4 linked regions of the Mus musculus genome follow. The protein of the gene in region 3 interacts with the protein of the main gene of each other region in a pairwise test. Links are inferred from orthologs where the notes say so. Each region holds a gene or a part of one and is shown on either strand. Other genes may lie near its edges.

Region 1 (6,193 bases), on a different chromosome or scaffold from region 3:
AATACGTTCTATTTTTTTAAATAAATAAGTTCCTGGCCAACCTGGGCTACATGAGACCTCAACTTGAAAGCAAAACAAAGAGTTGGAGAGAGGGTTCAGTGAGGACCCAGGTTTGATTCACAGCACCTACGTGGTGGCTCACAACTGTCAGTAACTCTCCCGGGAGATCTGATGCCTCTGACTTTTGTAGACACCAGGTATGTATATGGTGCACATACATACATACATACATACATACATACATACAGGCAAAACACTCACACGTGTAAAATAAATTAAAAAAAAAAAAAAAAAGCAAAACCAAGAGAATGGTGGCTCCGCGCCTTTAATCCCAACATTTGTGGGACAAAGGCCAGCCTGGTCTAGAGAGTAAGTTCCAGGACAACCAGAGTTACACAAAGAAACTGTCTCAAAAAAAAAAAAAAGAAAAGAAAAGAAAAGAAAAAAAGGCATTAAAAACAAACAACTAAACAAAGCAAAACCAAGAACATCTGAAGAACATTTGAGAGTCTGGCTGTCTCACTGCTGAGAGTGTGCCTTGAATTGGACCCTTGCAATAAGGTAAGGGAGAAAAGCCCTGTGTTTATTTCTTAGGAGATATTGGAAGCCATCTTAGAAAAACTGAAAGCAAGCTAGACAAGCTGGTAATGCCTAAATCCTAGCACTAGAAAAACGAAGCAGGAAGATGAAAGATTCCAGAATAGCTTAGGCTACACAGCAAAACGCTGTCTCAGAAAACAAACAAAAAAGTGGCTGGGGATGTAGCTCAGTGATAAGAGTACTTTGGCTAGCACCACCTCGGTGTTCCGTGCCCAACACCACAAAAACTAAGCAAAAGGAATTTTCTTTAGGGACACACCTGCAGCTCCAGGACTAGCAATATGGAAGCCAAGCATGATTAGAATTTCAAGGCCCTTGTCTACACTGGAGTCCTGCTTCACGAGACTGCCTAAAACAAAAAGAATCCGAAAGTGAGTCCTAGAAAACAGGAAGGAGGGTACCAGAGACCAAATAGTGAAGAGCAAGCTAACCCTTCACTACGAAACCATATCACAAAATTAAACACACACACACACACACACACAAAATTTTAAATCTTAGCTCAGTTCTACGGTGTTTGTTCAAAATGCTCAAATGTTAAATCCCCAAAACTAAAAATAATAATAATAATAATAAGTTTGAGTTTGTTCCCAGAGTTGTGAGCAGTCTTTAAGAGTAAACAGCAACAGGCAGACAAATGCGGAAAACGAAAGCGTTGCCTGGGATCCAGGAGGTTCCCCCAAACAAGCAGCAGACCCCTCTAGGTTAAGCATAGACTCCTCCTACAAGACGGGTTGGGGGTGGGGAAGCAGAGCTCCGCCAGCTAAGGGGCGGGGCTGCGGTCGTTCAGGCAACGCAAGCCGCATCATGCTATTGGCTGCTGTCTAGTGCGTCATCCCCCCCCCCGCCCTCCGGTTTGACCCAGCCTTCGGAACTCCGGGGGGCGTGGCCTCCACCATCTGCCCCAAGCCTGCAAAACCGCAGGGAGGGGAGAATGGTGTCACCCGGTGTCACTCTTCAGTGGGGTCTGGTATAAGGGGTCTGCAGTGAAACAGAGGAGTGAGAAACACAGCTGGGTCCAAAGTAGCAGTTCTGACGGCGTTACCAGACTCCACCGTGGAGACTCCGCTCCGCCCCCTGACCAGTAGCCAACCTAAACCGGACCCGGCCCAGTGATGGACGGGGCCTAGCATCCGTGGCTCCTCTTAGCCAATGGCGCCCCGCGGCGGGCAGGATTCCAACCAATCCTGGCTTGCGACTGGCCTCCGGGGAGGAGCCGAGTGGCCCCCAGCCAGACCCAGAGGCCCGGGGAAAGTGAGCCGGACTTCTACCCAGCACTGGTGGAACCCAACCCTGCAGGCTTGTCGGAGGTAGTCGTGGCGACCCTGGCAGCCGAGGTGAGGAGTGGCCGCCTGTGTGAGATTTCCCTGGAGTTAGAGGAGGACGGGGGCGCGCCCCCACGGTAGGCGGAAGCGGGGTATCCCGAGTGGAGAGCAGATTGGTGTGATTGATGGACATTGGAGGGTGGAAGGCTGAATTCCAGCATCAGCACCGAAGGGGGAGCAGGATTACTCAGGAGTTGGAGTTTGGAGAAGCCAGGAAAACGGAGAAAGAACTTTGGAGGAGAGTGTAGGACAGTTTGAGTCTCGAAGAATAGGCTGAGTTTGGAGTTCCACGGTGTTCTGGACAAAGTGAGCGTTTTAAGGCTAGGATATGAAGCATTTAGAGGAACCCGGGAACTAGAGGAACCGAGTATTGGATTCTGAGACGCCGTCGTGAGAAGGGAATGCCGGGGAAGAGTTCACTGACTGGGTCTCGGAGCCGGACTGGGTATTTGGAAAGCCAGAGTCATTTGAAAGTGGAGCCGAATGAGGGGAGATTTGGGACGAGGTCTCAGAATTGGGATATCCAGTTTCGCCGGCGGAACTATGTACCCGAGAGTTATTTGTCGTCTTTGGGCGATGTGATGGGATTTGGACCTCTGCACACCGAGGACAGTTTGGGGAAGAATCCAGAACTTCCTGGGGTGATAGGGACCCAGAGAAAACAGGTTTCTGACTGAAGCCTGGTGGGGGAGGGGCGCTCGGGGCGTGGAGCTCGGATTCACCGCCCCGAAGGCAGTAGAGGGCGGGGCTCGGCGGCCGCTGGGCAGCTGAAGTCCGGGTTCCCTTCCCCCACCAGCCGGAGCTCCCGTACGCATGCTCTCAGAGAGGGCGGGCGTGTCCAGTCTCTTGGGTGTGCTGGGCCTTCTGGGGATTGTAGTTCCAACGCGACAGCCGAAGCTCTGCCTGGAGCCTTTGGGTCCACAGTTCCCAGAAGGCCCTGAGGATACATTGAGGTGTTCTTGGGTCTGGTCTAGCGACCCAGGGAAGGGTGGTGCCTATAAAAAGAGATGATTGGGTTGGACTGGTCGCTAGAGGGTGCAGTTTGTGGTTAGTTTCGCTCTAGCTGGCTTTCCTTTGGGTCGGAGTTTGGGAAATACTCCCTCTCTTTTGAGAGGTCATAGACTCAATTGTAGGAAGCAGGTACGGACAGAAATATTCTTGTTAAAAAAGGAGAAAAAAAAAAGAATTTAAACACACACGTCCCAGCTAAGCCTCGTCTCACACACATTTAATCCCAGCCTTCAGGGAGGAAGAGGCGGTACGATATGAGTTCGAGACACAGCCTGATCCACATAGGGAGTTCCAGAGCAATACAGAGAAACCCTGTCTCAAGTTTGGGTTTGGTCCATTACTCTGTGCTCCATACCTGTTTGTCCTGTGACCTGTTAGGAAAAAAGTATTGTGGGAAAACAATAACAAGATCTATTGAGACCAGAGTTAGGATTTTCACTTTCCAAATGTTAAAATTGATTACCATAATGTAAATTCAACGTTGTGCCTACCACAGACAAGTGATACTCAAGCCATGCCCGGATGTTTTGGTGATTTGTTTTAGGGCTTTTTTGTTTTTCTGAGACAGGTTTGTCTGACCATATTAAACTCTACCTGCTTCTGCCTCCTGGATGGGTGCTGAAATTAATGGCATAGGACACCATCTGCAATTTTTTTTTCTGTTCATTTTCCTATTTTAAATTTTATGTGTATGGATGTTTTGCCTGCATGCTTGTCTGGGCACTACTTGTGTGCCTGGTGGCAAAGGAGGCCAGAAGAAGCCATGGATCCTCTAAAAGTGGAGTTTTAGGCAGTCCTGAGCCATCCATGCAGGTTCTGGGGATCGAACTTGGATCCTCTAGAAGAACAGACAGTGCTCGTAACCACTCAGCAATTTTTCCAGCTCCTTTTATTTTTGAGACACTGCCTAGCTGAGGGTGACCTTGAACATCTGAACTCACTGCCTCCTTAATACAGAGGAGGTGACAGCTACAGGAGTCTCTCCACCCTCACTACTACCTGCTCCCACTCTGTGTCCTGTGCACCCCTCCTCACACTCACTTACCAGTCCCAGCAATCCTATCTGCATCTTGTTCTCTCAATCACATTGCATGCATTAATTTACCCATTCTTAGCCTTGTGGGATTCTCTGTGCACTTTAAATGGAGGTTCTGATACACACACACATACACACACACACACACACACACACAAAAGCTTCCCATAGCTACACAGGCTTGCTTGAAGAAGTAAGGTCCCAAGGTATCTGACTCCACTCTTTTTTCACAGGACATGGGAGGCTTAAAGAGGAAACATTCTGATTTGGAAGAGGAGGAGGAAGAGGAGAAGTGGGACTGGAGTCCAACAGCTCTTCGGAGCTACCAGCAAGCCCTGCTCCGAATCTCTCTGGACAAAGTCCAGCGCAGCCTGGGCCCCAGAGCACCCAGCCTCCGCAGGCACGTCCTTATCCACAACACACTCCAGCAGCTCCAGGCTGCCATTCGCCTCGCTCCAGCACCAGCCCTGCCCCCGGAACCTCTCTTCCTAGGTGAAGAAGATTTCTCCCTATCTACCACCATCGGTTCCATCCTCAGGGAGCTAGATACATCCATGGATGAGATGGAGCCGCCTCTGAATCCAGCAGCTTCCTCGAGTCCCCAGAATGAGATCGTGTCCCAGGCTGATCCTGTATTCTTAGAAGCTCTGAGCTCAAGGTACCTGGGAGACTCTGGCCTGGATGACTTCTTTCTGGACATTGATACATCTGCGGTGGAAAAGGACGTTGCACTTCCACCCCCGGAGCCGCCGCACAGCCTCTTCTGTAGCCCAGGATCCTGGGAGTGGAATGAACTGGACCACATCATGGAAATCATCCTGGGATCCTAAAGCTGATGGGATTCTTCCGGGCGTCAGCCTCAGTGCGCTGGGCCTTAGATGGGACTCTTGTATGTGTGCGTGGCGGAGGCGCTAGACAGAGACTGTGTGGCCTCCTTTCCTCCTATGTCAGGATTCCACAAACTGTCCTGCATGTGTGCGTGTCTGGTTGCCACAGCCTTCCGTGAAGGTGCGTCTTCCTCAATTAATTTATCTCTTCCGAATGCCTTAAGGAGACTCTATTTCAGGGAGTCTAGATTCCTCGCTTACACATTTCTTCTGCCTCCAGTTCCCACTGTCCTTATGACCACTAGGGTCTCAGGGAAGATAAAACTGGACCTGTCAAGGGGTGATGGAGGGGCTGGTCTCCGGACAGACTCAACCTCTTGGCAGGACCCCAGTACCAGCAGCCTCCTGATTCATAACCAGGCCGGACCATGTGCAATAGGGCAGAAGTCTACCAGCTCCATGCTGTGCTACTTAAGAGGAAAGAGGAGGTAGGGTTTGCAGAGGCGTATGTTTGTTGGTTGGTTGGTTGGTTGGTTGGTTTGGGGGGATTTTTTGAGTGAAATTTGTTGTTGTTGTTGTTGTTCTTGTTTTTTTGTTTTTGTTTTTTTCTAATAAAAGCATTTTGGAAATATTGGAATTGTAATTAAATCTGTAAACATCTCTGGGGTGATCTGGGGAAGAGCCTGCTAAGTTTCTCCAATACTTAACATCCTTTCCTTAACAAAAGTAGAGCAGCCGGGCGGTGGTGGCGCATGCCTTTAATCCAGGCACTTGGGAGGCAGAGGCAGTTGGATTTCTGAGTTCCAGGCCAGCCTGGTCTACAGAGTGAGTTCCAGGACAGCCAGGACTGCACAGAGAAACCCTGTCTCAAAAACACAAAAACAAACAAAAGTAGAGCAAGTGTAATATTGTATAAAGTGTAACAGTTGCTGGTTGCTTAAGGATACTGTCAGAACCACTTTATGCAAATTAAACCCTTTAATCCTCAGGATTAGAAAGAAACATATACTGTGTCAAATTCTACATTTGCATAGGGGAAATCTCAAATTTAAGGGCTTAGAGTACATAGTTGAAGTCTTGCTTAGTATATGTCCTGGGGTTGAACCCCATCTGCAAAAACAACTGTTTGTTTTGTTTGAAACGGTCTCACAGTGTAGTACCAACTGTCCTTAAACTCACTGAGATCCAATTGCCTCTGCCTCCCAAATGATGCACACCAACACCTTGCTACAATAGCGTTTTGAAGCCTGAAGTTTAGAGACAGAGAGGAAAGGAACAATAGGAGTAAGATTCACTCTTTGCTGGCCCCTGCAGCTAGTTCTCCGTTTGAATACTAGCCAGTCCATGGCTAGTGGACAGCCATGTCAGACACCATACTGCCGAGCCATTCCCTA
Region 2 (6,301 bases), on a different chromosome or scaffold from region 3:
ACAGTAATGGGCAGTTGGCAGAGCCCATCTACACAGGAAGCGGAGCATGATCTTTTTAGGGGCTGGCCTGTTTGCCTAAGGAAGGAATGTATTCATCCTCAGGGGACAGGATGAGGGGCTTGTCTGGATAGACTTGGGTTCCCATAGTGCATGGGGAAATCCACCTATTCAAATCCTTGCCCTCCTCTCTGCTTCTTCTCCTCCTGGCCCTAACCGCCATTGTGCCCTGGCTTGTCCCCGCCCCTCACCAGCATCAGCTCACCTCAGCAGGACACAAGGAGTGGTGTGCTGGGTTTGGGTGTGGTGGAGGGTAGGCACGTGCTGCAGGGGGCCTCCGGCGGACCAACTGAGGTCGTTCACCAGGCTCCAGTGGGCACTCAGGGGGCAGCTGACCAGTTAGCTCCTGGAAGGAATGTGGCCAGAGACTCTGAGAGTTAGAGGGATGACATTAAGTAATAAGGGTAAGAAACTAGCCCTCCCAAGGAGCTTGGCCCTGCTCAATACTCCACATGTATTAGATCGCCACCTCTCAAGGTCTCTAGCACCCGGGGTAGGGCGTATAGTTCTCCAGCGGGCCAAGTCTCTGGGTCACTGAGCATAGGAATCTTGGAAATCGGGAGGCCCGTGTTCTTAGTTTTCACAATTATAAAAGCCCAGTCCCTATGATGCACTACAGGGGCTGCATTTTCGGAATCCAATTAAAGTGACCTCTAAGTCAAACTTTGAGGAACCACAATGTACCAAAAACTACTAAATGCCGAGACAAGAGGTTGGGCACCCATCACTGCAGTATGCCTGCCTAGGTCGCCTGGCTCCTCACCCCCTCCTGCATGACAGCCCTGGGGCCAGGCCCTCACCGCCTCCTGCAGACACACTTTCCTGAGCTCTTGAAGTTTTACGCTCAGGGCCTCTTGCAAGGCTCGCTGGCGGTCAAGCAGCCCTCGAAGACGGTCTGACTTCACCAGTGGGGCAGCCTCTCCAAACAGGGCAGCTGCAGAGGAAGCAAAGGTAAGGACAGATAGGACATCCTGGAACAACTGCAGGTCCAGGGGCCAACCCCTCCCAAGCAGGCACAGGGAGACTGGGGCAGGGGGAGGGCAGTAGTAAGTGGAAGCAGCCACTGACCTGGGGCCGTGAAGGTAGGAGAACTGATCAGCTGACCTTTGACTTCCATCCTTGCACCGCTTGGACCTTGTGGCTGATGGCTGGATAAAGCCTGGCAGTAACACAGCACAAGAGGCGCTGAGGAAGATAATGCCATAGAACCCCTAGGCCATCCCCACTCCCCTTGCATCAGCTGAAAATATAAAGTACCCAGGTCCCACCTGCCTACCTGGCCTTTCCTCTCAGATTCTGTGTCAATGTCTGGACCCGCTTGGCCTGGTACCTTGGTTCCCTTCCCATTGAGTGCTAACACAGTAAGTGGGAAGCTGGGCAGACTTACAACACCTCCTCAGAGGCCCATAGGCCACAGCCAGGAGTCTCACCTAGGGAGAGAATTAACAGTAGAGTCAACTAGGTGTAACAACAGTAAGCACTTTCGCAGCCTTGGGTGCCTGGAACAGCTACCTGCTATATTACAATGAATCTTTCAAACCCCTCAGGCAGGAGGTCCATCATTATTAACTTTCCTTTTGAGATGAGGGGTGGAAAGCACACAGAAGTGAAATAATTCCCCAGTAAAGGGCAGAGCCTAGGACCACCCCTCTCACGGAACAGCTCCAACCCTAATAATGTCCTCTTGAGTGCCTCGACCCATCCATCCAGCTTTAGGGCCTTTGCCCAGGCTGTGGCCACAGCCTAGGGTGCTGTTTCCAGCCTCTTACCACTTGATTTTTATTTCTCGCTTATCATTTTGGGGCTGTTTTTGTTTTGACATAAGGTCTCGCTCTTGTAGCATCAGCCTGAAAGTCACTGTGTAACCCACACTGGTCTTGAACTCATGGCAATCCTCCCTTAGCCTCCCACATGCTAGGAATCTAGAGACAGGCACTACCACACCCAGCTCATTCTAAGGCTTAAATGTCCTTTTCCGAGGTGGCCCCTGAGTGATGTCTTCTCACAGCTACTGTTGAAAAAGACACTGCCCCTCCCTGTATTGTCATTTTGACAGGAAGCACGTCTGCCCCAGCGTATCATAGCCCCGGCACCTCAAGCACGGCTGCACACAGCAAGCAGTCCACAAACGGATGCCAGCGGGGTGAATAACTGCAAGGTAGCCAAGCCAGGCATCAGGGGTGGCTCTGCATCTATCTTCCTAATTCCATCCTGCTGCCCCACGACCTCAGGCTCCCTCCAGCCCCTCTTCCCTCCCACCCTGTTCTGAGACTAGCATACAGAAGTTACCCTGCTGAGAAGGGCGAGAAGCGCCATCCACAGCCACAGAAAACACATTACCTGCCCCTCTTTTTGTCCCGGGAAGCACTGGCTGATCATGGAGCACGCGTTGGCGAGCTGCCAGCCCTTCTTGTGCTTTTCTGGAGTTTGCTCCCTCCCTCCCACATCCTGCTCAGTCCCCAGCTGGGCAAGCAGGTGACATCACCTCCCACCACCTGTCCTAGCCTCTAAGGCAGGTGACTAGGAAGGCCTATCAGAGACAGCAGAGTTCTCGTTTTAACACCCCCCCCCCCCGACCCCTTGAAATCCACAGCTTGTCATGATGTGGTAGAGCAGACCCAGAAAACCAAGAACGCCAAGGAGAAGCCCCTTCCCCATTTTCACACTATAGGGTGTGCTCAGACTGTCTACAAGGTACCCCCGCCCCCCAGTTTTCTCTACAGTCTTCTGCTTGTCCCACAGAGTCTGTATCCCTCCCTCAAAGGACTCATGGACTATCCTCCACTGCAATGGTTAGGCAATCCCATAAGCCTTTTGTACAGAAAGTTTGTACACTGCAGGGGGTCTCACAAGCCCACCCATCTGAGGTCCAGCACTTTCGGCATGGTAGGGTGTCTTTAGTGTCCCACCTCAGCCTCCTCGGTCCCTCAGCCCCCGAAACTTCTACTTTCCCAGGACCCATTTTAATTCGGAAAACTTTCACAAGGCTTGCCTGAACCCTTCTCCACCCCAACAGAAAGCTAACTCCTCCCACCTTGGGTCCATTTACCCGTTCACCAACATTGTCTCATGTTTCACATCAGAGGGCCTCCGTCCTTCCTTCTTTAGAAAATTAGAGTATCCCGGAGTCGACACAGGGTCCAGTCAGGAACCCCGACTCCACCCCATCAGTCTGACCTCAGGGACATAGTTATGGCATGAGTCATTGGGTCACTAGGCAGGCTAGACATGGATCAACGCCCCACACCTCCATACCTGACTCAGGAACCTTTGCTTCTACTCTTCCATGTTCTGTACACTTGGAACTTCAGACTGCCTGACATCAGACAGAGATAGTAAGAAGGCAATCTACCACATTCCAGCATCACTACCATGCCCTCATATGAACCTCTGAGACCCTCCTGCCCACACCAGAGCTTTGCCTTGTCATTCTGTGGTCCTGTTACGGGCTTAGGTTGCAGCAAGCGAGCTACAGAGGGCACATGCGGGGAAACACACACACACAGAGGCAGGCCCAGCAGGTTTTTCAGGTCTGCCCTTCTGACACCACGGCTGAGAAAAATTCCTGGCTGTAATGACTGTTTACAACCAAGATACTTCACCTGGGTGGCACTCCAACACTGTCAATGAGAGCCCCATTTCCACATCCTGCCACCACTTGAGCAAATGCACACAGAGTCTGGACCTGATCCCCATTGCTCCCCCAAACATACAGCACACCCCCTTCAATTACTCTGGCTGAACAAACAAACAGAGGGACAAGCAGATACAGATGCCTGAACAACAGTGGTATCTAATCGGTTCAGCTCGTCTTCTCTGAGGCACTAGTCCTGATAAAAAGGGGGAGAGGGGCCGAGAAGAGAAGGCTGAGTCTCTGCCCCGTCCTTCCTCCTCCATTTTCCAACCAAGAATTATTTTGATATCAAGAAAGGAAAATGGACACGTGAGGCTTTGCCCTGGTCCCCTGATCCTCCCATACTGAACACCACCCCTCCTATCGCTACCCTATATTCTCAGGGTCCTCCTTCCTCAGATCTGGATCTCTAGAAGGGAACTTCCTCAGTTCCTGTGCCATTACCCTATCTCACGGCCCTGCCCCATTGCTCGCTGGTACTCACCAATGCCCTAGTGCTGGATGGCAGCCTCAAATATTTCCAAAAGAACAGTTGTCTCGTCCAGGCCCTAGCTTTCCTGGCAGTACAAGTGAACAGCAGTGACTGCTGTCTTGGCTACCTCCCACTAGGTAAAGGCCCAACCTACCTGGACAGGATGGGGTTGGCCCACACCTTTTAACCCTTACCTGCCCGCTTCCAGGGCTAGGGTCACCCCTGGGAAGGCAGTCTGGGGGACCAGGTGCCTCGGGGAGCCCAATATGGTCAAGGAGAAAGCATAGAATGCTTTCCTCACTGCGGATATCTAAGAGATAACTGGCCAATAAGCTCTAAGAATTGTGGGAGGAGCCACTGCCCAAATCCCCAGGCCACTGGAGCCTGCCTACACCCCGGGACATGGGGGCTAGGAAACTGTGAAATAGACAAACAGACATAGACATGGACACACACACACACACACACACACACACATATCTTGGATCAATTTCTCCCATAATTAGGATGATGATTTTCTAAGCTGCAGAGAGAAGTTGACCTTTCTAAGGAGAGACCAGATCTTAAGACACTCCCACCTTCTGTACTCCAGGAACAAATAAACCTAGGAAACACCATCATCTATACCCTACAACCTGAGGGGCGGCACAGAGCCAGCCTCCGCTGAGCTCTGAGCCATGGTAGAAATGGGAGGCCTGACTGAGAACATACTAATGTAAAGGCACAGGAAAGAGCCAGCTGGGGTGGGACACACCTTCCTTTAATCCCAGCACTCAGGAGGCAGAGGCAGGCAGCTCTGAGTTCGAGACCAGCCTGGTCTACAGAACTAGTTCCAGGACAGCCAGGGCTACACAGAAACAAACAAACAAAGAAACAAAAACAACCATAAGAAGGAGCAGAACCAGAGTACTAGACTGGGCCCTGCGCTAGAGGAGCCACTGGCTACTCCTGAAAGGAGAAAGAATACGAAGACTCAACTTTATCCATGTTCTCCCTGTTAACATTTCTAGCCTGGAGCGAAGCAGACAGGGAAATAAATTGAAAACTCTAAGTCCCTCTAATGCCCTTCAACACAACCCTACCTGGGCCCTAAGCTTGTCTTGGGCACATACCAAACATGCTGTACTCCAGGTAAGACAATCTATTTTGTGACCTCAGAACCCAAACCTAACCCCTATAGCAGCCGCTGCCATGTATGAACAGGGAGGGTTTTAGGGGTGTTCCCTGTTGGGGAGGAGAGCCTAGAGAAGAGTTCCCCCAGTCACATGTTATCAAGGCCTGCTGCCCCAGGTGCCCACCTTTCTTCCGGGTTATGAAATGTATGTGTGGAACACAAAGGCCCTTTCCATCTCCTTCCTCCCTTCTCCCTCCTTTGGACTGCTAGTGGAGGCAAGGAGCAAGCTGACATCCTCTTGGCAGCCATGGACCCCTCCCCACCCCCCTTGCAGGAGGCCACCAAGCATGTTGGGAAATGGATTTTTTTTCTTAAGTTTTTGTTTTTCAAGACATGGTTTCTCTGTGGAACAGAGCCCTGGCTGTCCTGGACTTTTTTGTAGACGAGGTTGGCCTCAAACTAACAGAAATCTGCCTGCCTCTGCTTCCTGAGTGCTGGGATTAAAGGTGTGTACCACTACAGACAGCTGGGAAAATGGATGTTTATAACCAGGGACAAGAGAAATGAAAAATTAGGAAAATAATTCAGATAGAGCCTCAGAGTTTTGGTTACCTCATCTGTAAAATGGACAAAATAGACAACAGGGTCCACAAGAACATATAACTCACACCAAATCATTAATGGCCAATCATAAGAACAAGATATTTGGAATTAGAGAGGTGGTTCAATATTTAAAGGGTGTATGTGTGTGTGTATAACATGTATAATATACAGTATGTCTAATATTACATATTAGACATATAATATATAATATATAATATACATGTATCATATACTATATATCATATATTATATAATATATAATATACATATATATAATATATACATACATGTGTATATTATATATAATATACATACACACATACATATACACTGTTCCTCCGGAAGACCTGAGTTCGATTTGAGCATCCATATAGTAGCTCACAACCTCCTATAAATCCAATTCCAGGGAAATTCAACATCT
Region 3 (5,703 bases):
GCTAGCCTGGATTACAGACCCTACCTATGTCAGTTGCACTACACACACACACAAACACACACACTAATCCTGTCTTGGGGGGTGTTTTTTATTTTTCGTTTTTTCGGATACAGAATTTCTCTGTGTAACAGAGCCCTGGCTGTCCTGAACTTACTAGGGTAGACTAGGGTGGCCTCAAAATCACAGAGATCCACCTGCCTCTGCTTTCCCAGTGCTGGGATTAAAGGTGTGAGCTATGCCAGACTTATTTTAGGGTTTCTATTGCTGTAATAAAACACCTCAACCAAAAGCAACTGGGGAGGAAGAGATTTATTTCATCTTAAGACTCTCAGGCCACACTCCATCACTGAGGGAAGCTCGGGCAGGAACCTCAAGGCATGGAGGGATGCTGCTTACTGGCTTGCTCCCTATGGCTTGCTCAGCCTGCTTTCTTATAGAACCAGGACCAACAGCCCAGGGATGGCACCACCCACAATGGGCTGGCCCCTCCCTCCCCATCAATTGTCAATCAGAAAAGTGTCCACAGGTCCATTTCGGGGAGCATTTTCTCAATTGTGGTCCCTCTTCCAAAATGATTCCAGTTGATGTCAAGTTCACACGAACCACCACAGATCCTGAGATCACTGTGGCTGGAACAGAGTGGGAGAGATGAAGGCGCGTGGGGGAAGGCCACAGTATGCAGGGTGTTGAAAGCTAGTGTGCTCTGGTGTGTGGTGGATTCTGAGGGGAACTGACCTGCTGCAGGCGTTCACTTGTGCCATCTGATGACTGTGAGCGGAACAGTCTGGCGGTGGACCATAATCCTGAAGGTGGAGGAGGGGTGAAGTGGCCCGGGGCGTTTAGTGGAGGTGACCAGAAACCTACAGATTATGGGTGATGTTAAACCCAGATATGGTGGGACAAGCCTGTAATGATAAGGACTTCAGAGGCTCAGATGAGAGGATCACAGTTTAACACTAGCTTTGACGAGATAGGCAAATGTCTCAAAACAAAACTAGGACAAGTAGGGATACAGAATCCTCCAGTCAGGGCTGTGGGCGTGACTGGGGGGGGTAGAGTGACAGCCTAGAATCCTCCAATGAGGGGCTAGGGGCGTGGCTTAGCACAGCTTTCAGAGACTTCTCACAACAACAAAAATGAATTCTCCTGAATGTAGTGGGCACACTTGAAATCTCAACTACTTGGGAGGCTGAAGTGGGGGGTGGCTTCAGTTGGGGAGGTATAAATGACTAAAAATTTAGAAAGGAATAAAGTGGAGAGGGCTGGAGAGTTGTCTCAGCAGTTAAGAGCACTGGCTGCTCTTCCAGAAGACCCAGGTTTGATTCAAAGAATCCAAGTGGCATCTCACAACTGACTCTAGTTCTAAGGGACCTGACACCCTCACACAGACACACATGCAGGGAAAATGCCAATGTATATAAATAAAAAAATTAATCTTAAAAATATAAAAAACGTGGTGATCGTCCTGTGTCCCCCATCACCTTGCCAGTAGCTACACTCCCCTAGTTAGGCCTCTGTGGCAGCTGGGGACCGTTCCAGGCCACATTGACGGGGCTGCTGTTGCTGTAGAGAATTGGTTGAATATGTGAAGCCATGGCCTGATCCCCTATCACTGGCAGGTACAGGAGCTGGAGGATTCCCTGATGCAGATGGAGGCCTCCCCACCTACCCCCATCCTCAGAGCAGGGCGTAGAAACAGCAACTCCAGTACTTCTGGGGCAGAAAGGAGACCCTGGGTACCTCAGGTAAGCCTAAAGTCTTCTGAGTCCAAGTCATGATGTTCCCAGCATTCCCAGTGTGAGTGGTAACCGTCAGTTTGTGCTTTATGGGATGCCATAATATTGTGTGACAAAAAGTTTTCCTGGGGAAACACTACACACATCAACTGACCACAGATGGGGAGCCTGTGGCACATCAAAATATGGACACCACCAATGTCCAATTTGGTGAACCAATGAGTTTTATTGGGGTTACAAATAGGACTAAGGCTATATATTATGGGTATGAATATGGGTACATATAGGATTGTAGTTACATATAGGTTGATGGGCAGAATGATTCAAAGACAGCTGCATCACCAAAGCCTGAGTGACAGCGTGACAGCATGAGTGACAGTGTGAATGATAGCGTGAGTGATAACTCACAAAAGCTGGGGACATAGAGCTCACTACAAAGCCTGCAGGTTGGAGATTGTTCCTTCTTAGTGACTCTGGTCTCACCCTTCTTCAGACAGCTGGTCTGGTCTCAAGGTCTTCTTTGCACACTTGTTTGTTCTCTCATCTCAGAGGGACTTTCCTTACTCTGGCAGGGAGGGGCCTAGTCCATCTGTTTAGTTTCTCAGACTTTCTGAAACTAGAGTTGTTTACCTTCCTGCTTCAGGAGCAAATCTGCAGGATGGAATGTCTCTATCTGGGAGGAAACTGTCCATACAACCTGTAGTATCTGAAAGAACTAAACAGGACTTGGAAACATGGCTCGATGGTTAGGGGTGCTAGCTGTTCTCATAGAGTACTCAGGTTCAGTTCTCTGTACCCACATGGCAGCTCACAATCATCTGCAACTCTTCATTCCAGGAGATCTGATGCCTTCTTCAGGGCTCCACAGGCACCAGGCATGCACATACACAGGCAAACACCCATACACAGAAGATTAAAAGAAAAAAAGCTTAAATCACCAGTTTGGTAGCTCAAAGCAGTCACCCCCTAGTCATTCTAACCACTTAAGAAGCGGAGACGTGACTAGTAAGAAAAAATAAAATCATTGGTGAGATGCTTCAGCTTTTTGGAGCACTCAACCCCCTGGATCCCACAAAGTAAAAAGAGAGAACTGACTCCAGTGTGCTATCCCCTGACACCCATTCACATACCATGGTGCGCACGCACGCACGCACGCACGCATACATCCCACATATGTATACCAACACTCCCCAAAGCAAAGATGCAGCTGTACCTTAGTGGTGAAACAGATGGGTAACATGATCCAAGGCCCTGGTTCCACCCCCAGCCCTGCAAAAAAAAAGGGGGAGAAAAACACCTCTGGGGCTTTGATGTCAGGTAAATCAAGTCATGTCTTCCTGGCAGGACTCTTCCATGGCTCACCCCTTTCTCCAACGCCTCCGGAGTGACTCCAGCACCCAGAGCTTTGGGTGCCTTTCCACACAGCATCCAGCCCCAGAGACGTACCTCATGGAAGACCAGATGGGGCAGCTCCAGGGGTGAGCAGCTGAGTTACAGCTGCTGAGCTTTTAAAGATACCATTACTCTTGCCACTGGGTTGTGGTGGGGAGGGGGGAAAACCAGCCCTGGGTGATTGGAGCCTCACTCACCTTCCCTGTTGCCCACCTTTGGAGGCAGGAGCATTGAGAAGTTGAAGTGCTTCAACCGTCTTCTTCTGGCTGTGCTCCAGGGCTACAAGGGCCGTTGTGAGAGCCTCAGCATTAAGCTGGCCAAGCGGGAAGCCGAGGCCACAGCCCTGCGCCTGGCTCTGCAGTATAGGTGCGTGCCTGCTCCCAGTGATGGTGGTGGCTGAGGGTGGCATGGTGTTGCATGCCAGGATGGTACAGAGGGACACACAACCTTCAGAGGGTGCATTGCCTCACCATGACATGTTACTCTGACCCATAAAGAATGAGTGGTGGCGCATGCCTTTAATCCCAGCACTTGGAAGGCAGAGACAGGCAGATTTCTGAGTTCGAGGTCAGCCTGGTCCACAGAGTTAGTTCCAGGACAGCCAGGGCTACACAGAGAAACCCTGTCTCGAAAACCAAAAATAAATAAATAAATAAATAAATAAAAGAACAAGTGGTGGGAGGTGTCTTTTGTGGATTGTTGTATATTATTTGAGACAGGGTCTCACTGTGTAGCCCAGACTGGCCTGGAACTCACAGAGATCTGCCTGCCTCTGCCTGGGTTGGGGCTGAGTACTGAAACATTTAGATCCTATCCCACAGTGAGGACTGTGAGGAGGTGTATGAGGTGCTGCTAGCTCTGAAGATGGCTGGCCTAGGAACTGGAGTTGGAACTACCAAGGGTGACCTGCAGGCTGCTGAGAAGGAGGCCTCTAGGCTGCTGATGAAGAAGGAAGCAACCATGGAGGTAGAGACACCCCAGCCCAGGTACCTATAGGGGGCACAAGAGTTGCTGGTCTATGAGAGTGACTGGGGCATGTCCCAGAGACTGCTGTACAAAGGGCTTTGGTGTCAGGGGCATTGGACACTGCCCAGCATTGGCTCTGAGCTGTCTAACCATGTTTGGCTGACACAAGGTCTGACTGGAGTAGGTTACTCAGTGGCACCAGGTACGCTAATTGTCTTTGATCTTAGTACTCAGGAGACAGAGTTAGAGTAGTTCCAGGCTAGCCCACACAGTGTGATTCTGTTTGAAATAAATACAACACCAAATACACACATTCGCAAAGCATCAAGTGCCGTGGACCCTGGTTTTAGTCTCTAAAACTGGGTTTAAAAAAAATCAGTGACGTTTATTAAGTTTATTAGGTTATTGTTAAGTTTTGGCTCATGACTTCAGAGGTGTCAATTCATCATAGCAGGCAGGAAGTAAAGAGGAGGGGTACAGGAAGTGGCCAGGGCTTCACATAGCCCCAAAGGAAAGTGGCACTGATGACAGGCAATCTGTAAACCTGGCAAGGTTATCAATGCACTTCTAAGGAGTGTCCATGGCAATGACTGTAAGCTCCTGGTTTTGTCTCTGCACAGAGAGTCTTCACTGCCAATGCAGCCTTGGTGTCCAGCATGAGCTGGGCACACCTCAGAAGTGAATTCAAACTCCCCTAGTGACATAGTTACTACTATCAAGGCTCACCACCTTGCAGCGTACTGAAGGCGACCTCTGGTATTGAATTCCTGACACTCCTGCCTCCATCTCCTGAGAGCTGGGATGTTAACATGGTGCCAGGCATGGAACCCCATGCATGCTAGGCAAGCTCTGTGGACTGAGTTACAATCACTCTACTGGCTGAGCCCCAGTACCTGCCATATTATAATACTGGAAGATTGTTCACTGGGTGTAGGTTGTGCTATGGATGCTCTTGGTAGGCCCTAGGTGGCATAAAACTGTGGTTCCTAAGAGCTATGTGTTGGGAACAGCTGGTCTACCTCCTGTCTCTTATAGCTCAGAGGGCAGTGGTGTGGACAAGCCTACACCAGAGGAACTGGCCTCTCAGCTCCATGGCTATGTCCAGCATCTCCGGGAACGCTGGGCTCTGGTGAAGATCCCCGAAGAACTTGGCCCTGTCACTGCACCCAAGGCCACTATGCCCCATGCAGAAGCAACAGTGCAGGCCATTCTGGAGATACAACCTGGCCCCACCTTGCCCCATCTGGAGAAGTCTCAGATCCAGCAGGACCTAGCAGCTACTCGGGTAGGAACATGCTGAGATGGTCACGACAAATCCTTGATGATGTCATTGGAGCCCAGAGGCAAGCAGGGTATCCCTTAGGTGGGGAGCTGGTTTCTTGTATGAAGGAGAACTGGAAGTGAAGTTTTGAGGACTGCATAGGAGTTTGTCCTCCTGATTAGGTTTTCCATAAGATTCTATAAGTTCCCTTTGGTTGCTATGATGAAATAAATCTCTGACAGGAACAATTTCAGGAAGGAAGGTTTGTTCCTGCTTGGCTGACAGTTCCAGGGTGTGGTCTGTCATGGCAGGAAGTCATGACTGCCAGAGCCTGAGGCGGCTATCACA
Region 4 (6,371 bases), on a different chromosome or scaffold from region 3:
AGGGGGAAGGGAATGGAATGGGGACAGAGGGGAAAGACGGTAAGAGAAGAGAGGGAGGAAGGAGGGTTTACCTTTTATAGTGACTCAGGCACACCTAGCTGATGCCAGGTAACTGTGGGGCAGAGCCTAGAAGGAATGCCAACCACCACTTCAAGGCAGATGAATGGCAGGGCCAGCTCTCCGGAGCTCTCACTCTCAGGGCTGGCCCACCTGTGCCCCCTCCATTGTGTTGGCTCCCGCTGAAGACTGGCCATGTGGATGGCCAGCCCCTGGGTGACATCGTCCATCCATACTTCGTGGCATGGTAGCAAGATGGTCTCTACAGTCTGCTTGTGCCATGTGCCCTGGAGCTGGTCTGTGGGCAGCATGGTTCTGCAGGTCTCTGTCTTCTCCCTCACACACTGGGCTCCACGGTGGTAGGCAGGCTCTGGGTGTCTATGGCCCACCCATGCTGTGGGGCAGAAGTCATGTCGGGGTGGAATGGTGGAATGCAGGTCTCTGTCTTCCTTCTCCCATGCTGTGCTGCCTGGATTTGGTTTGATTTGATTCGATTTGATTTGATTTGATTTGATTTATATGTCCTAGGCATAAAACAGCTGTGGTCACCAAGCCAGGTATCAAGCTAGGGTGCACTAAGGACTGCCATCTGCTCTGCCCCTGACTGATATAAGAACAGCACCAACAACAAGGTGTCTCTTTGCCCAATGCCAGGGGGATTTTCTTTTTCTTTTTTAAAGAGAGTGTCTCATGTACTCTTGAAGTCTAGGCCGGCCTTGAACTTCTGATCCTCCTGCCTCCAGCTTCTGAGAGCTGGATCACACATGTCCTCTCCCATGCCTAGTTTATGAGGTGCCGGGGATTGAACTCGGGGCTTCCTGCATGCTAGACAGACACTCTATCAATTGAGCTCTATTTCCAGCCTCCATCAGGCATTTTGTCATAGGACCAACACAGTCCTTTAAGCAATAACAGCCATCAAAATATGCTCATTGATCCCATTTTGTGCCTGGTGCTATTGTAGGCACTGACTTTTAGTAGTGAGTGGGAAAGATGGGTTCCAACCTGTAGAGCTCCTGGTTTGATGGTGAGACAGCTATCAGGCACCAGCCCATGTCATCAGCTGATCTAGCATGGCTGCACACCGGGTGTGATGGCGCACGCCTTTAATCCCAGCACTCGGGAGGCAGAGGCAGGCAGATTTCTGAGTTCGAGGCTAGCCTGGTCTACAAAGTGAGTTCCAGGACAGCCAGGGCTACACAGAGAAACCCTGTCTCGAAGAAAAGGAAAAAAAAGGATAGTTTTAGCATGGCTGCAAGCCCAAGACCATTGTAAAAGAAAAGGATGTTGTGGAAGACTTCCTATAGGAGGAGGTACCAAAGCTCATGCCAAGAAGGAGTTGTGAGCCATGTGAAGAGTTGAGCAGAGCTTACAAGACATGGGGACAGGCATTGTGACATCAAAGTAAAAGCCTGAGGCACTGGCAGAGAACAGGCAGGTGTTGTGCGGTTTATAGGGAGAGGATGGGAGGGCTGGGGAAGCTGGGGAAAGTAGCTTGTGGGTGCAGAGACTCGGGCTGAGACCTGGAGACTGGCTTTATTTAGGAGCCTTTGGCTGGGTGTAGTGGCTCCTGCCTGTAACTCAGATATGTAAGAGATGGAGGCAGGAGAATCAGGAGTTGAAGGACCACCTCAGCTTGGTGACTTTGAGGTCAGTCTGAGCTACATGAGACTGTCTTGAAGTTAGTCCATCAGCAAGTGAGAAAGCAAGCAAGCTTGGTTGGAGCAAGCAAGCTTGGTTGGAGGGCCGCTCAGAGGGAGGCAGAGGTGCAGGCTGGGCACCATGAGAAAAAGGCAGTGGAGAACACAGTTTGCTGTTGGGGTCCTATCCTTGCTGTTATGTTTCAGACAGTGATTGTCTGGATTGATGGAGAGGCGGGGGCAGGGAGGGAAGTATGAGAGACCCCGTGATGCCATGGAGTCTTGGAAGACTAGGGGCAGGGGTTCTGGCAGTCTTTCAGTGGATTTAGGGTACCTCGCTCATCAGCAACTTAGAGGAGGAAGCTGTCTGCAGCCACCGGGGTGGCAGAGGAAGTGAACAGAAGCCCTGCCTTCCACCTCCGGAACCTGTCTGCGTTGGGAACCTGGTCACCCTCTAAGCTAGTGGGCTCCATTTCCTGATTTGAAAAGAAGCAGCGGGTGAGTGCATCTAATCTTTGGCCTGTGGGGTCCCTGAGCTATTAGAATCTTCTACCTGTTCACATGTCCGGGTAGTGGACCTCAGAGAGGAAGGTGGAGAGGTTCCTTGAATAGAAACCCAGAGGCACATCTCAGCTGGGAGCTCACAGTCAGGGGGATCTGCCAAAGGGGAGCCCCACATCCAGCCACGTTGCTGAGGCCATTGCATCATTTTACTGAGGATCTGTGAGACCCGTCCCCACAGGAAAGCTCTGACTACCTCCCCCACAGCCAGATGAGCAGTTTTCAGACCAGAGCCACTCAGAGCTTTACCGCATGAGAGAAAGCCGAGTTCCCCACCATGAAGAAACTGCTGTTTGGGGCAGGGAAGGAACCCACCTGGGACCGGTCACCAGAGGCAGTTTCAGGTCTATGTGTACTTGGCTGGACACAGGGTCTAGCTTCTCCCTGTAGAGTTGCATCAGAGTCAAAGAGAGAGCGTGCTGGCCTATAGTCACCCAGTCTGAGTAGGAGGAGCTGGCTGGGGCCCAGGCTCCCCACCCCAGCCCAACTCTCTTTTCTCTTGCTCAGTTTGTGGGGTTTGGAACTCATTCCCAGGGGGCTCTGGCCTTTTGCTCCTGGCTTCAGGGTAGGACTCAGTTTCCCAAGGTTCCCAGGCTGTAGCCAGTTTGAGGATGGTGGCTCTCAGCACCGCCCCCCCCCCCCCCCCAGTGCCTCTTCTTCAGCACAACTCTCAGGTTCCTTGTTGTGAATTTCCTTCCAGTTTGACCCCAGACCTCCAGTATCCCAGTGAGCCTGGGAATCCCAGGCTCGTGCAGAGGCTGAACGAGGGACATAAGGGAAGAGTCAAAGGTGGCCATGCGGCAAATGAAACTTCCAGAGGGGAAGTGTGGGCGGAAGAACCAGAAGTAGGTTAGGGAACCAGAAGGGGGCCATTAGCTTCTGAATCTGATCCTTGCTGGGTACGGGCAGGCCTGACAGTGCTCATCACGAAGCTGGCTGTGGGGGATGGGAAGGTGGGGTGGGATGGGACTGCTGGTCTCAGTCTCAGGCCTGACACTGCGCATTGCATTGTGAGGCTGGGGCGGGGGCGGGGAAGACACGACACACTGCTGGTCTCAGGCCCATCACGAGGACGAGGAGGGACTGCTGGTCTTTCACAAGGAGCACGAGCTCTGGGCTTCGTGAGCAAAAGCCCTGACAGACCACACCCCAAGTCTGGGGGTGCGGAGCCAATTGGCGAAAGACTCATTCAAAACTGGAGGCTGGATGGGCCAGCCTCCCTCTGTGAGGCAAGCTAACATGGATTGGGGAACACGTCTGGGTGGCTTTGGCCTTCAGCCTGGTCCACCCCATCTACATCTGGGAGAGTCTGGTCTGTTTTTTACCTGTCTTGGATTCAGGGACCCTGAAGGGATGGATGGACGGCCACTTCACCCCACTGGTGGGTGCTTACCCTCATACAGATTAACCCAGAGCTCCCTTCCCACACTTGTCTGATGCTCTGTGGAAACTGGGGTGCTGACCTGGATGTAGAGAGAGGGTTGAGGTTCCTGGCCAGGCTTCCATGTGCCTGGCTGGCAGGGAACTTGCTTGCTTCCCAAGCTTTTGCCCAGGCTGTGCCCTCAGCCTGTGCGTTTTTAACCTTCCTTGTCGTGAGAAAATATCTTGACAAAAGGAACTTAAGAAAGGGAGGTTTTCTTTAGCTTCCACTTTGAAAGCACAGCCCCTTCAGAGGGAGCAGGAGGCCACTGGCCAAGCTGCATCGGAAAGAGGAGAGACAAATGAGGTTTCTCAGTTTGTTCTCTTCAGTTTCATTCAGCCCAAGATCAGCCCATGGGACAGCACTTTCCTTCTTACACTGAGGGAATCTAGGCATGCCCAGAGCTTTGCCTATCAGGTGAGTCTAGATCCTGCCAAGGCAAAAATCAGGATAAATCACCACAGCCAGCCTGGTAACTTGTCTGCCCCTGCAAGGTTTGGTTGACTTCAGGTGTCTCACACCAGGCTTCATTCCTCACACTTGGCCCTCAGTGTCTTGCCCACTCAGTGTCGGACTCCCGTCCTCCATCCATCTCTCCCAGTCTGAATGAAAGAATGAACACATGGTGAGCCTTGGCCTTAGAGACAGTAATGCACTCTCCTGTCTCTTCCAGGGAAGGCAAGGAAGAAGATGGAGTTAGAGTTCCTCTATGACCTGTTGCAGCTCCCAAAGGAGGTAGCTCAGCCCACGGAGGAAGAGCTTCCACGAGGTCCTGGTCCTAGTGGGACAGAGTTGTTGGATCAGGGGAGGGGGATAATGTGTGACCAGCTAACTAGAACAAGACAGGTTGTATCTGGTGACCACTCATGTATCCATCCATGTATCCATCCACCCATCCATCCATCCATCCATGATCCTTCCATCCATCTACCCATTCATTCATCCATCCATTTATCCATCCATCCATCCATCCATCCATTCATCCTTCCATCCATTCTTCATCCATATATTCATCCATCCACCCACCCATCCACCATCCATTCATCCATCCACCATCCATCCATCCATTCACTCACCAGCCATCATCCATCCATCATCCATCTACTATCCATTCATCCACCATCCATTCATCTATCCATCCATCCACCTATTCATCCACTCTCCATCCATCATCCATCCACCAATCCATCCATCCACCTTCCATTCTCTATTCATCTTGTCCACTCACTCATCCATGAATCACCCATCCCTTCATCCACACACCCATCCACACATTTATCCCTCCCTCCTTTTTTCCTTCCCTCCATCCCTCCATATTCACTCACTAGCTCACTCGTGTCATCAGGAGCTGACCCCAGGCCAGCACATGACTGCAGTGCTCTATGTCTTCTCCCACCAGGAGTGGGTATACTCCAGGTTTTGGGAGATCAAGCGTCTAGTAGGTCACATAGCAGGTTACATTTTATGAGCTTGGGCAAGTCAGTCCATTCCCTGACTCAGTTTCTTCAATGTTCATTGAGATCAGTTGACCCACAAAAGCCCCTCTGGGGCTGATGCTTTCTTGGTTTTACAAATTTAAAATGTGGAGACCCTGCTGACCAAGGTCTCAGGGAAGGGAATGGCCAAGCCAAAGGGGGCACAGAGGGGCCCCAGTGATCCACTCTGGCCAGAGGTGCTTAGCAGCATAGGTGATGCCTACCTCCGCCTGGCATGCCCCTTGCTCTCTTGGGTTGTTTTTTACCCTAGGCAGGTAGGCAGGGCTTCTAAAAGATGCTACACATTTGACTCATGACCTTCAGAGTAAGGGGTGATTTCTGAGTTTACATGTGTACCTCCAGTGTGAAGTGCTCATGAGGAAATATGAATGACAGGCAGAACGAGGCTCTACCAGGAGCCTGGGATCAGTGGGTGACCTGAAGGGAGATAGCTGCCAAGGGCCCTCAGGGTTCTCACACATGTCATACCCACCTCTGCTTCCAGGAGGAAAGAAGAAATATCTGTCACCCAATTCCAAGAGGAACCCCAAGTTTGAAGAACTGCAGAAGGTACGCCACCACCATCCCCAGTCCTGAAGTCTCTGGAGCCAGGCTTGGTGCCCCTTGGTGTTGTTATAGACACAACACCCCTGTCCACACCCTATCCCAACAGTTCTCTTTTCTATGCCAAGAACATACCCCTTCTTTCCTCTGGAAACCTCTGTTTCTATAGCTCTCTCTTGGAGGCAAACTAGGCCTTGTAACCAAGTGCCCATTGGCAGCTCTTGTCATCACCCAATTCCCTAGCCATGTCTCCAGGTTTAGATGTTTGCTACAGCAATGGCAACTCCCAGGTACGGAAACCTCACATACCAGGATGATAGCTCCTGGCTTGCGGGCTCAGGCAGGTGTCTGGGAGATCTTGAGGTGGGGAAGATCTTTGCGAGCTCAGAGCAAGTTCTGAATGACTAGGGAGAACTTTCTGGAACTCGACTAGACCTTGAAGAGTGGGTAGGAGTTGCTGACCTGGCCAGGTGATTCCTGATCCCGTCAGCTGTCCCTGGTGACCAGCAGGTGCTGATGGAATGGATCAACACCACACTCCTCCCGGAGCACATCGTGGTCCGCAGCCTGGAGGAAGACATGTTTGATGGACTTATTCTGCACCACCTGTTCCGTAAGCAGAGGCCCAGGCCCCACCCCACCGCACCTGTGTTT

Evidence for each region.
Region 1: the proteins of Ushbp1 (region 3) and Sertad3 interact in binary tests that used the Homo sapiens proteins (3 or more experiments, as listed by UniProt). The two-hybrid records come from large-scale screens. The link is inferred for Mus musculus from reciprocal best matches to the Homo sapiens genes USHBP1 and SERTAD3.
Region 2: the proteins of Ushbp1 (region 3) and Ccdc120 interact in binary tests that used the Homo sapiens proteins (3 or more experiments, as listed by UniProt). The two-hybrid records come from large-scale screens. The link is inferred for Mus musculus from reciprocal best matches to the Homo sapiens genes USHBP1 and CCDC120.
Region 4: the proteins of Ushbp1 (region 3) and Parvg interact in binary tests that used the Homo sapiens proteins (3 or more experiments, as listed by UniProt). The two-hybrid records come from large-scale screens. The link is inferred for Mus musculus from reciprocal best matches to the Homo sapiens genes USHBP1 and PARVG.

The regions. Positions count from the first base shown.
Region 1 is NC_000073.6:27,471,935-27,478,127, forward strand, and holds Sertad3 (SERTA domain-containing protein 3), read left to right. Parts: upstream 1-1,905; 5' UTR 1,906-1,937; intron 1,938-4,205; 5' UTR 4,206-4,208; coding exon 4,209-4,802; 3' UTR 4,803-5,430; downstream 5,431-6,193.
Region 2 is NC_000086.7:7,737,037-7,743,337, forward strand, and holds the start of Ccdc120 (coiled-coil domain-containing protein 120), read right to left. Parts: upstream 4,289-6,301; 5' UTR 4,176-4,288; intron 1,488-4,175; 5' UTR 1,334-1,487; intron 1,217-1,333; 5' UTR 1,175-1,216; coding exon 1,126-1,174; intron 992-1,125; coding exon 858-991; intron 404-857; coding exon 263-403; intron 1-262. UniProt on the Homo sapiens protein: Centriolar protein required for centriole subdistal appendage assembly and microtubule anchoring in interphase cells. Together with CCDC68, cooperate with subdistal appendage components ODF2, NIN and CEP170 for hierarchical subdistal appendage assembly.
Region 3 is NC_000074.6:71,388,432-71,394,134, reverse strand, and holds part of Ushbp1 (Usher syndrome type-1C protein-binding protein 1), read left to right. Parts: intron 1-1,619; coding exon 1,620-1,745; intron 1,746-3,080; coding exon 3,081-3,214; intron 3,215-3,353; coding exon 3,354-3,494; intron 3,495-3,949; coding exon 3,950-4,114; intron 4,115-5,129; coding exon 5,130-5,379; intron 5,380-5,703.
Region 4 is NC_000081.6:84,322,637-84,329,007, forward strand, and holds the start of Parvg (gamma-parvin), read left to right. Parts: upstream 1-2,083; 5' UTR 2,084-2,195; intron 2,196-3,482; exon of another isoform or gene 3,483-3,497; coding exon of another isoform or gene 3,498-3,639; intron 3,640-4,351; coding exon of another isoform or gene 4,352-4,368; coding exon 4,369-4,447; intron 4,448-5,658; coding exon 5,659-5,723; intron 5,724-6,125; exon of another isoform or gene 6,126-6,227; coding exon 6,228-6,330; intron 6,331-6,371. UniProt on the Homo sapiens protein: Plays a role with ILK in promoting the cell adhesion and spreading of leukocytes.